Macaca mulatta: one gene and its partners. The protein of the gene in region 2 purifies or fractionates together with the protein of the main gene of each other region. This does not show direct contact. Links are inferred from orthologs where the notes say so. Each region holds a gene or a part of one and is shown on either strand. Other genes may lie near its edges.

Region 1 (3,656 bases), on a different chromosome or scaffold from region 2:
ATATAAAAACATAATTTAAAAGCAGTATTACTATATTGTGACACAAAATTTCACGTAAATTTTATATCAGTATCAGTCTGGGCATAACACACTTCTCTTAAGCATGTCATCTCATTTTCCATTATTCTACATTCCCATTTCATTAATAATCACATGATAAAAAGTAAAGATTAAAAACTAAAAAAATTACCTGTGAAATGTTTTCCCTGTATTGATCTAGTTCAACTTTCTTTCCCTTTAGTTCCTCAGTTAACTGCTCTATTTCTTCTTCTCTTTTTGTATACTCCTGAACAATCTGGCAGGGGGAAAAAAAACTTCTTTAAGATAAATCTACCAAAGTATAAAAGTATATACAATTTTGCATTGATTAAAACATTAACTGAAAATGGCAATTGTGCTGTAGTTTGTATGCAAATAATTTATGTTCTTATTACATACTGAAAGTGACATTTTTTATCCTTGAAAAACTAGACATTGCAGTATTTCAGGTTAGCCCGACTATTCTTTTTATAAAGAAAAGGCACAGAACATTGTGTTCCTTAGGAAGAATCTATTTAAAATTCTAATAGATTCAGAATCTGGCATTTAAAGCACATTGTTCCTGCTGTCTAGCTTATCATTACCAAGAGCTCTAGTACAGAGTGGGAGGCAAGTACTGGAGGGAACTCTGTGTGTGTATGTGTGTGTATGGGGAGGGTGGTGGTGGTGGTGGCTGGATGCAGAATGGGAGTAGAGAAACAGGCATACTGTAGGATTCAGTCCCGTGAAGCAGGAAGCTCTTGATCTTTCTTCAGTTAATAAAGCATCAATTTCATCCAATGTGTTTGGAAGGTCTTGGAAAACCTAAAGAAAAAAATTGCCCATCATTATAGATACAATGAAAACGGTTCCATTCAAATAGTTAAAAGAAAAATAATCTGCTGAATAAGTTATCTACTATCTGTTCTACAGCATGCTGGTACACAAGGATACAAAGGAATAATAAACAGGGTCATTTGCCTTCGAAAGTTTGTATTTTAAAGAAAACAAAATGTATGTACTGGATAACACCTTAAGGCAACGTATTGATGTTGAGTATTCAAACAAGCAGTACATATCTTATAGGCTAGGGAATTTAGAGAAAAGAAGTATCAGTTCATGCTATAGGAGAGTTAAGAGAATCCAAAGGCCTAGAATTCATCTCTGGGCCTTAAAGCAAATGGCTAGGGAGGAGCAAGGCAGAGGGAAGACAGGAGCTTGGGAAAAAAGAATGAGTACTGCATACCATGGGGAGTGAGGAGTTGTGTCCATTTGGAATGGTGGGTACTTGCTGAATTGGTAGAATGGGTCCAGAATATGTGGGGCATTGAAAGAGAGCAAGAAGTTAGAACTTTATACTGCACTTATGAAGAACTAAAAAAGCATCCTTAGTATCTAATTACTTTGACAGTTGAATTTCACCACGGTACTATCTTCTGAGTCCATGCCATGGGGACAAATTAGAACAGACACTTTTTTTTTTGAGGGGAGGCAAACAATTACATTGTTTGACTTAGCACGACCTGCAAAGGCTGTATACTACATGGTACAAAATGAATCCTGAAACCCTGAAAAAGATCTTGACATATTAATCTAATATCTTCAGCTTATTATTTTAACCTCTTAGAAAGCAGTTCAACTTCTATAGACCTTCAAATATTCCTTTGTTGAATCTCTGACGTACTCACTGAGATTTAAGCTCATGTGTCCAACATTTATTTACTCGATATCCTCACTTGACTCTAACAGGCATCTTAAATTTAAGATGGTGAAACAGAATCTGGATTTCACCCACCTTACCTACCACTTCAAGCAACCCTGTTTCTCCTTCAATCTTCTCCATTCCAGTAAATAGCACCGTAATTTGTTCGGGTGAAAAATTTAGGGGTTCTCTCTCTTATCCTTCATGTCAAATCCATCAGCAAGTCTTGCTGGCTCTGTCACTAAAAGATATCTAACATCTGTCAACTTCTCCCTCTCTCTCTTCAGTGCTATCACCCTAATTCATGCCATTATATATCTCTTGCGTGGTCCAAAGAAATGACCTCCTAAATGGTTTCATTGCTTCCATTCTTGTATCCCTACTTTATCCTCCATCTAGAAGACAGAAGTTAAGAGTGCTCTTTCATAAAAGTAGTAATGTCACTTTTCTGTTTAAGATCCTCCACTGGAGTCCATCCCAAAAGAATACAACCTTAATTCCTTGTATGGTCTAAAAGCCCTACATAATCTTGGCCTCTGCCTTCTTCTCTGCTTGGATAATTTTTAACCCCAATGAGATTCCTTTTATTCTGAAATGTCCCAAACATACTTCTGTTCTGGGCTTTGTCTAAGTTGTTTTCTCTGTCTGGAATAGTTTTCCCTCACATCTTCACTTGACTGATCTGTTCTCTTCATTCAGGACTGTTATAAAATGGTATCTTTTCAAAGGAGGCTTCCCTGACCAAGTTCCCATCCATGTCACTCCATCTCCTCACCCTGTTTTATTTTTCTTAGCATTTCTTGTTATCTGACATTATCTGATTTTTGATTTGTGTTTTCATCTACCTAATCTTCCAGACTAGAATATAAGTTTCAGCTGAGAAGGAAGTATGTCTGTCTTGTTCAATGCTTGCCATATAGGAGGTAATTAATACATTTTAATGATTAATCATCTTCTAATTTTGATTCAAAAACAGTATGACTTATCAAGAACAGAATCATGCTTTTTCTGAAAGAAAAAATTAGTACAGATTGTACTTATATTTATTTTATAACAACACAATGTATTCTGAAGATATTCTACTGTTTTTAGAAATAAGCTTCTCAATTTGTTTTAAAGATATCTACTGAGTTCCTAGTATGTATCCAAATAGTCGAATCCATTCTGTGATTCTGTGTCTGATATCATAAAATAAATCAGTTGAGGATTTGAAAATTATAATCCATTAATTTTTTTCCAGTTGTTTATATCTTTAGTAGTCATTTCATTATCTATTGAAATAGATAACATTTGAAATTAAGAATTTTAAAAAGACACACCAATACTAGATATTTTAAAATTTATTTTATAATTTCATTTTGACATTATTCTGAATAGGTATGCAGGCAAAGTATCATCCCCACTTGTCACAGAGGTATGTAAATTAACAGTGGGATGTGACTAAAGGGCAGCATCTCCTAATTTTACTGAGTGGTATGTCAGCATAAAACATATAATGGAAGTAAGACCTCTTTTTTTCCTTTTCTTATTGGCAGATGTTAGTCCTAAATATTCAGCTCCCATTGAACCCTAATTAAACACCCCAATTTCCGGGGAAACATTTTCATTTTCCCTTTATTTTTAAAATGTCCTATTTGTTATTTCTGATATACCAATTACTGGCACAATGTTTCCATGGAAAACTGTATGTTCCAACTGTACCCATTAAAAGGCATTTGTATTGGAAGAATAAATGTTATAGTACCAATAACATTGATCTGTGAAGCAACATTATTTTATATATCTATTCAGTTTAAAAATGTGGAAAAACTCCCTATTTTTTATGACACATCATATTTTTCATGGCCTGTTACAATGCTTAAGATCCTATAATCTTAAAAATATGTTAAATATGGCAATTGTAGCATTATATACTTTTTATACTTACTGTCTGGTA
Region 2 (3,656 bases):
AGCTTGCAGTGAGCTGAGATCACGCCACTGCACTCCAGCCTGGGCAACAGAGTGAGACTGTGTCTCAAAAAAAAAACTCTAGTTTCTTACCAGGTGATTTCCAGTCTCTGAAATTTCTTAGCAATAATCTTTGTATTAAAGATTGTTTTTGCTGTTTTTGTGTTGTTTTAATATTAGTGATGAACAGGAACTTTAGGTCAGTTACATCATTAAATAGTTTTGAAACCAATAGTTTTTTATAAGTAGGATGTATGAAGAAAGAAGTCTTACAATATAATTTAGTGATCAAGCATTAATGGCAGAGGCCGGGCACGGTGGCTCATGCCTGTAATCCCAGCACTGTGGGAGGCCAAGGCGGGTGGATCAGCTGAGGTCAGGAGTTCGAGACCAGCTTGGCCAACATGGTGAAACCCTGTCTCTACTAAAAATCGCAAAAAAAAAAATTAGCCAGGCATGGTGGCAGGTCCTGTTATCCCAGCTACTGGGGAGGCTGAGGCGGGAGAATCACTTGAACCTGGGAGGTGGAAGTTGCAGTGAGGCGAGATCACACCACTGCACTGCAGCCTGGGCGACAGAGTGAGACTCCGTCTCAAAAAAAAGAAGGTCAAAAAAAGTTAATGACAGTGTGAAACATTTTTAGTTGCTGAATTGAATCAGTGTTACTGAACCATTAAGAAAATCTCAAAAATGGAAAATGGAGAAGAAAATGCCACTTAATTCAACTATTAACGTGAAGTAGTTCTTGCCTTCTTTTGTCTAGACATCTGATGTTTGTTTTCTTTATAGTTCTTTTTTGCGTCTTTTGTCAAAAAGTTTATAATTAAAACCCTAAAAATAAAATACACCTTCTAAAATATTTTTGTCTGTGCATTTATGTTAAACAGTTTCTAGGCTTGTGTACATCTATACATCCAGAAGGTTACCAGGATCGTGAAATAATGTTGCTGATTTTAATGTTATTTAAAATGAGTTTGGAAAAACAGCTGAAACAGATTCCTCTAGTAGACTTTCAAAGCCTCCTGATAAACCTGATGAAAAACATCAGAGATTGGAACACAAAGGTAATGTTACTTAAAACTTCATTATTAATTTTTTATATAGCATTACAATTTGACTCATAGTGCATATGGAATTAATACTGTTTCTAAACTCAAGATCTTTGGCAGATTAAAAATGAACTGAGGAAGAGACTGTTTGCTGGAGCTGTATTATTTAAATTCATGATAATTGAATTTTTTCTAAAACTTCAGCTCTTTATCCAACAAAAATGTGTTTATTGGGGATTTCCTGTGGACTCAGCATTAATGTAGGTGCTAGAGATTGAGCTGTGAAAGAGACAAAGCCTTTGCCTTCATGGGGCTTTTGTCCTAGTCAAAGGGTTAGATAAACAAGTAAATGTTGATTATATTATCATGTCAGGTAGTAGTTAAGTACTACAAATTAAAATAAAGCAGGACATGAGTACAGCAAGACTGGATGCTATGCTATTTCATATAAGGCAGTCAGGGAAAGGCCTTTCCAAAATAACCTTGGAGCAGAGACCTAAATGAAATGACGGAGTGAGTCATACCTACAACCAGAATTTGAGTTGAACTTCTGCAACCATATGGAGGATGAACATGTATAATTTTTGTTAGGACTTTTTAAAAATTATATTTTTCAGTCTTTTTTGGTGGAAAAATTAAAATAGGCAGAAGTAAGGCAAAGAGTATAATAAATTCCTAAGTATCACTTTGCTTCAATAATTGAGACATAATCTTGTCTAATGTAAAACTGACCCTATATTTCCTTTCCCTGCTCATCAGATTATTTTGAAGCAACTGTTAGGCTTTTAAAAAAATTGATACACAATGGTAATACATATTTGGGGGGTGTTAGGCTTTTTTTTTTTTTTTTAGACAGCATCTCCTGTCACCCAGGCAGGAGTACAGTGATGCAATCTTGTCTCAGTGCAACCTCTGCCTCCTAGTTTCAGGTGATTCTTGTGCCTCAGCCTCCTAAGTAGCTGAGACCATAGACACACGCCACCCTGCCCAGCTAATTTCTGTGTATTTAGTAGACACAGGGTTTTATCATGTTGGCCAGGCTGGTCTCAAACTCCTGGCCTCAAGGGATTCACCTTCCTTAGCCTCCCAAAGTGCTGGGATTACAGGCATGAGCCACCACACCCAGCCAGGTGTTAGGCTTTTAAAAATACTGAAATAGGATCCCTAAAGTGCAAGAAATCCCAAATCAGGAATATATATAGTCTTGTACAACTCTGATACACATTTATGTTTAGATCAGTTTATCCTTCCAAGAAGGACTGTTTAAAGATATGATGTAGTACAAAACATGAAAGCCAAGTGAAATTCTGCTAAATGTATCTGTTCAGTCCATTTAAGATAGTATAAGTAAAACAATCTGTGTATTGTGTACATTTTAGCAGATTCTAGACTCCATGCTATTTCTAAAAATGTGTGCCCTTATTTTGTACTAGTGCTTCCATTATGGCAAGAAGGGATGTAGATGATCTGTTGGGTGTTTGATTTTACTGTTCTGTTTGAAAAGAAATCTTACATGTTCTTTTTTTTCAGGTGCGTGAACTCTGTCTGGGCATAAATGAACTCTCGAGTCATCCCCACAACCTTCTGTGGTTAGTACAGCTGGTCCCTAATTGGACATCACGTGGAAGGTATTGAAAAGTGAGAATTAAACATTAAGAAATTTTATAATTTTAGATTAATGAAATGCCTTGGTTCTTTATTTCCATTCATCATTCTTTGAATGTTAGATCAGAGATGTTTATTTCATATTCAGTTGTGAGAAAAGGCATTGATAGCCTGATTCTTTCTTACTCTAATTCTTAACTCAGGTCGTTATGTAATTTTTTTTTTTTTTTTTTTTTGAGACAGAGTCTCACTCTGTCACCCAAGTTGAATATTTTTTTATTTTTAATTTTAGTTTATCTGTTACCTTAATACAGATGACATATTCCACAAAAATAAATGAATCAGCTTTTTTTTGCTTTAGTAAAAATAAATTTCATCAGTAAAAAAAAATAGGTTTTCTGTCAGTAAATCATCAGGGTCAAAGATAAGGCTGTTAAATGATTTACTGAGCTTCAGATAATTCAAGTTTTATGTACAAATATTTTACATGAAAATTTTACTGTTCTATAACAGCTTATATGTTCCTGTACAGACTTCTCTTGAAACATTGCCTATATTTCCAATTAGAACTAGAGCTCCTCTTGACTCATTCATTTGCTTTTCAAGCAGTATTAATTAAAATACATTCTAAATACTTTTAACTTCTAATTCTAGGCAACTGAGACAGTGCCTCAGTCTAGTGATTATTTCAAAGCTTTTGGATGAGAAACATGAAGATGTTCCTAATGCCAGTAATCTGCAGGTATAAATAAATACATTTTTATTTTTAATAAATGGGAGAGGTAATGAGAGGTATAAGGAAAATTGATGAACCCTAAGTCAAAGGTCCTGGGGTCAGAGCTCAGCTCTCAAGCATGATACTGTTCATGTAATCTCTAGCACACTTAACTAACAAGGTCCAGTTTTTTCATCTGTGAAATGGAGATAGTATTGCACCCTCCACCACATAGAATGGTTGTGGACAATCAGCTGTGAATTAATGTATAAAGAAACTACTGGGAAAAT
Region 3 (3,656 bases), on a different chromosome or scaffold from region 2:
ACAAAAAAGACTCAGCAATTTACTTTGGCCAGGTAAAGACTTCCGGAAGATTCATTTGCAAGTTAAGAGGTGTCTAAGTAAAAGAGGTGCCAAAGTGAATTATTACGCTATTCTTGTTATTTCATCCTTTAGGTACTTAGGTTCCAGTATAGTTAGAACCAAAAGCCAAACACATTTCATAGTCTGGGCTCAATGCCTGGAAGAAAAGAGCCCATATGCTTAACACAGCTATGTAACATAGCCTACTCTTCATTCTTTGTTCACAAAATGTCTAGGACTGAAAGAGATGAAGACTGAATTATACTTTCAAATCAGAAGACACTGATCCTAAGCAGCACAGGTTGAGATGGAATAGAAAAGTAAGGCGGGCAAGTCTGGAATGAGCTCAATGAATGCTACACTGTGTTTCATATCTGTAACGGCAAGGAGAGGAAAAAAAGGAAGGAATACTCTATTATACTGGGTATTAAACAATCACTTTCTTTGCATAAATGACAGTTCAAGAAAATAATACGTTATCCAAGAAGGTACTTCCTGGACCTAGTCCAATATTTAAGTTCAAGTATTCATCAGGGCAAATGTGTGAAACCTGCAAGTACTGACTATAACAACGAAAAGTTCTTAGCATAAATTAATTTAGATACTTGGAATACCTTTTAGATTAGTCTTGTGAAAATTCATCTTTTTAACTACAGAGGGGCAATTCTCCTTGGAACAGGACAATTCTCCTTCTGACTTCTTTTTCAATTTTTTTAATGTTGAGGAACATTTAGCAAGGTTCAGGTCTCTGAAAGGAAAATTAAGAAATAAGGAAAGCTTGTTTTTCAGCAAGGCGTGCCAGCATACATTAGATGGTATTTTTTAAAAGTCTAGCCTCCTTTTAATTTAAACCCCCTTGCTCATTCAATCTTTACTGCTTTCTAATTTTAAAATTTATTTCAACTGTGTAGAAACAAATTTCAGTGCACTAATTTTCTTTTATTAGTCTTACTCCCCCAACTGCTCACTAAATTTATAAATACAAAATGTCAAATAAAGAGCAAAAGACCAGTTAAACCATATATTGACAGAGAGAATAAAGCAGAAAGCTAAGATCAAGCAGGTCTCTGCTCCCCATTCTCAGTTTCATATTCTGATTCTATTCTCTTCTTCCTCTCACAGAACTTTACTGAGTTTTATACGACATACACTTTTATACACCCTATACTTTTAGAGGTGGTTTCTCATTTTGGGAAAACTACTATTACGATATAGGATATCTCATATGACCATGCATTCTGAAATTCCATCTATATTATGGCAAAGTAGTAATTCAAATCATAGAACAAAAATTGTGTAAAACTGTATTTCATCAACAATGCATCAATAATTGGATGACCAGTTTTATTTCTTTTGGGAAGCAGAAAGAAAGCATGTACCTTGAATTACAGAAACAGAAAATGTTGATCAAATACATCTAAAAATTGAGTTTTGGTCTAATCAATATAATTCAGACAGTATCACAGATAACCATAAAGTTCAAGAAATGCATCAGAAAAAGAGCTGTACTCCAAAATAAAGCACAGCTGGGATATCAGCATCACTTACGGTAACTCCGGCAGCCCTTCGACTTGTTTTTGTTTAGTACCATTCAACATTAGTAAGGCTCTCTGAGAGTCAAAACAAGGCCGCTGTCCTATTTTCTTTGATATCTGAATCTTTCCCGACCCAAGCACACCAGTTTTCCCCAAGGCTGGTAAATAGGAATATACCTGTTGAAAAATAATATCGCATTATTTTCTCAACTACAAAAACCGCAGTAAAGAGAAATTATTTGATTCATTTCATTATTACATTTGGTTATATTTTCCTGGTTGCATCACTATGGTTGCCACTCTATCTTGGTTGAACATAATAAAATATTAAGAAAGCTAGCTTTGTGTCATAGTCAATATACCATGTGAACAAACAGAAAAATACCTTCTTAAAAATAATTATTTTTTTCTAATTCAATTTTGATCCTCATTTAAGAAAGCTCTTTTGATTAGTCTTATGCCCAATGTGTATGATTCATTTGCATATTTCATATGTATGATTTACATACAACTGGTATTTCTTAATTTCCATTTTGATAATGCCTTTTTTTTTTTTTAACAGAAAACAAGTCTTTCTTCAATAGAAAACAAAATAAGGAATAAAAACATCCTTAAAGGCAAGGATTGCTGCAAAACAGAATTTGCCTAATCTGACCAATATACGTATTTCTCATTTAATTAAAAAATTGCTAGAGCTACCGGATATTAATATCTAAAGACAGCCAAAATAAAACTGGAAAACTTTAAATCAATTGTAGCTTATATGCATAATATTTTGCTTTTTAAATACCATTTAGAATTTTGTTGGATCTAGTTTTTTCCAAAATAATAACCTCACATACGAATTTTATTAGAGAACAAGGATTTTTTTACTTTTCTATGATTAACCCTTGGCTCTGCTCAAAAGAAATTAAAATCTCTTTTTCTTTTTTTTTTTGTTGTTGTTGTTGAGACAGGGTCTTAGTATGTCACCTAGGCTAGAATACAGTGGTTATTACAGGTCACTGCTGCCTCGACCTCCTGGGATTAAGGATCCTCCCACCTCAGCCTCCCAAGTAGCTGGGACCACAGGCATGTGCCACCATGCCCAGCCAATTTAACTTTTTTTAGAGACAGAGTCTTGCTATGTTGCCCAGGCTGGTTTTGAACTCCTGGGCTCAAGGGATCCTCCTGCCTCAGCTTCCAAAAGTGTTAGAATTATAGGAAGGGGCCATCATGCTCCACCTTAAAATTTCTATTTGGTGATTATCTTCTCCAAACTGCCCCTGGAGAAGGGGTCTCACAATGTTGTCCAGGATGGAATGCAGTGGTTATGCATAGGTGCAATCATAATGCCCTATAGCTTCAAATTCTGGGGCACAAGCAATCCTCCCGCCTCAGTCTCCTGAGCAGCTGGAACTACAGGCACTCAGCACTGCCGCTGGCTTTCACTACTCTATTTTGAGATAGAAATATACTAGCTTTTATGCAGAATTGAAAGATTTATGAATTAATATATTCTGCCTACTTACCTGAAATAACCAAGAATATTTTAAAATTCAGTTTGTGGGCCGGGCGCAGTGGCTCACGCCTGTATTCCCAGCACTTTGGGAGGCCGAGGCGGGCAGATCACAAGGTCAGGAGATCGAGACCACCCTGGCTAACGTGGTGAAACGCTGTCTCTACTAAAAATATAAAAATATTAGCTGGGTGTGGTGGCCGGTGCCTGTAGTCCCAGCTACCAGGAAGGCTGAGGCAGGAGAATGGCATGAACCCAGGAGGCAGAGCTTACAGTGAGCCGAGATCGCACCACTGCATTCCAGCCTGGACAACAGAGCAAGACTCCGTTTCAAAATAAATAAATAAATAAATAAATAAATAAATAAAATTGAGTTTGTGAACTCACTTCAGAATAGAGAGGTGCTTACCATTTTCTGAAGAGAGAGTGGCTCAGAAGACACACTACCAGAGCTCTGTAGACACAACTTTTTAAAGACTGCCTCTGCAACAAACATTTGAAGCCAGGAGGAGGAAAAGGAGCAAATGAAAATCTCTAATTCCTGTGAAGAAAAGTCTGGAGAACATAAGGTAAGTCGATATAGT

The links.
Region 1: the proteins of SLF2 (region 2) and SMC5 purify together in Homo sapiens (affinity purification with mass spectrometry; 3 studies listed by BioGRID and IntAct, with this or other methods). This does not show direct contact. The link is inferred for Macaca mulatta from reciprocal best matches to the Homo sapiens genes SLF2 and SMC5.
Region 3: the proteins of SLF2 (region 2) and SLF1 purify together in Homo sapiens (co-immunoprecipitation; 3 studies listed by BioGRID and IntAct, with this or other methods). This does not show direct contact. The link is inferred for Macaca mulatta from reciprocal best matches to the Homo sapiens genes SLF2 and SLF1.

Annotation. Positions count from the first base shown.
Region 1 is NC_133420.1:101,360,243-101,363,898, reverse strand, and holds part of SMC5 (structural maintenance of chromosomes protein 5), read right to left. Parts: coding exon 3,648-3,656; intron 1,310-3,647; coding exon 1,265-1,309; intron 844-1,264; coding exon 748-843; intron 296-747; coding exon 191-295; intron 1-190. UniProt on the Homo sapiens protein: Core component of the SMC5-SMC6 complex, a complex involved in repair of DNA double-strand breaks by homologous recombination.
Region 2 is NC_133414.1:113,006,601-113,010,256, forward strand, and holds part of SLF2 (SMC5-SMC6 complex localization factor protein 2), read left to right. Parts: intron 1-884; coding exon 885-1,061; intron 1,062-2,576; coding exon 2,577-2,674; exon of another isoform or gene 2,675-2,684; intron 2,685-3,305; coding exon 3,306-3,393; intron 3,394-3,656. UniProt on the Homo sapiens protein: Plays a role in the DNA damage response (DDR) pathway by regulating postreplication repair of UV-damaged DNA and genomic stability maintenance.
Region 3 is NC_133411.1:101,055,158-101,058,813, reverse strand, and holds part of SLF1 (SMC5-SMC6 complex localization factor protein 1), read right to left. Parts: intron 3,628-3,656; coding exon 3,482-3,627; intron 1,752-3,481; coding exon 1,588-1,751; intron 788-1,587; coding exon 654-787; intron 1-653. UniProt on the Homo sapiens protein: Plays a role in the DNA damage response (DDR) pathway by regulating postreplication repair of UV-damaged DNA and genomic stability maintenance.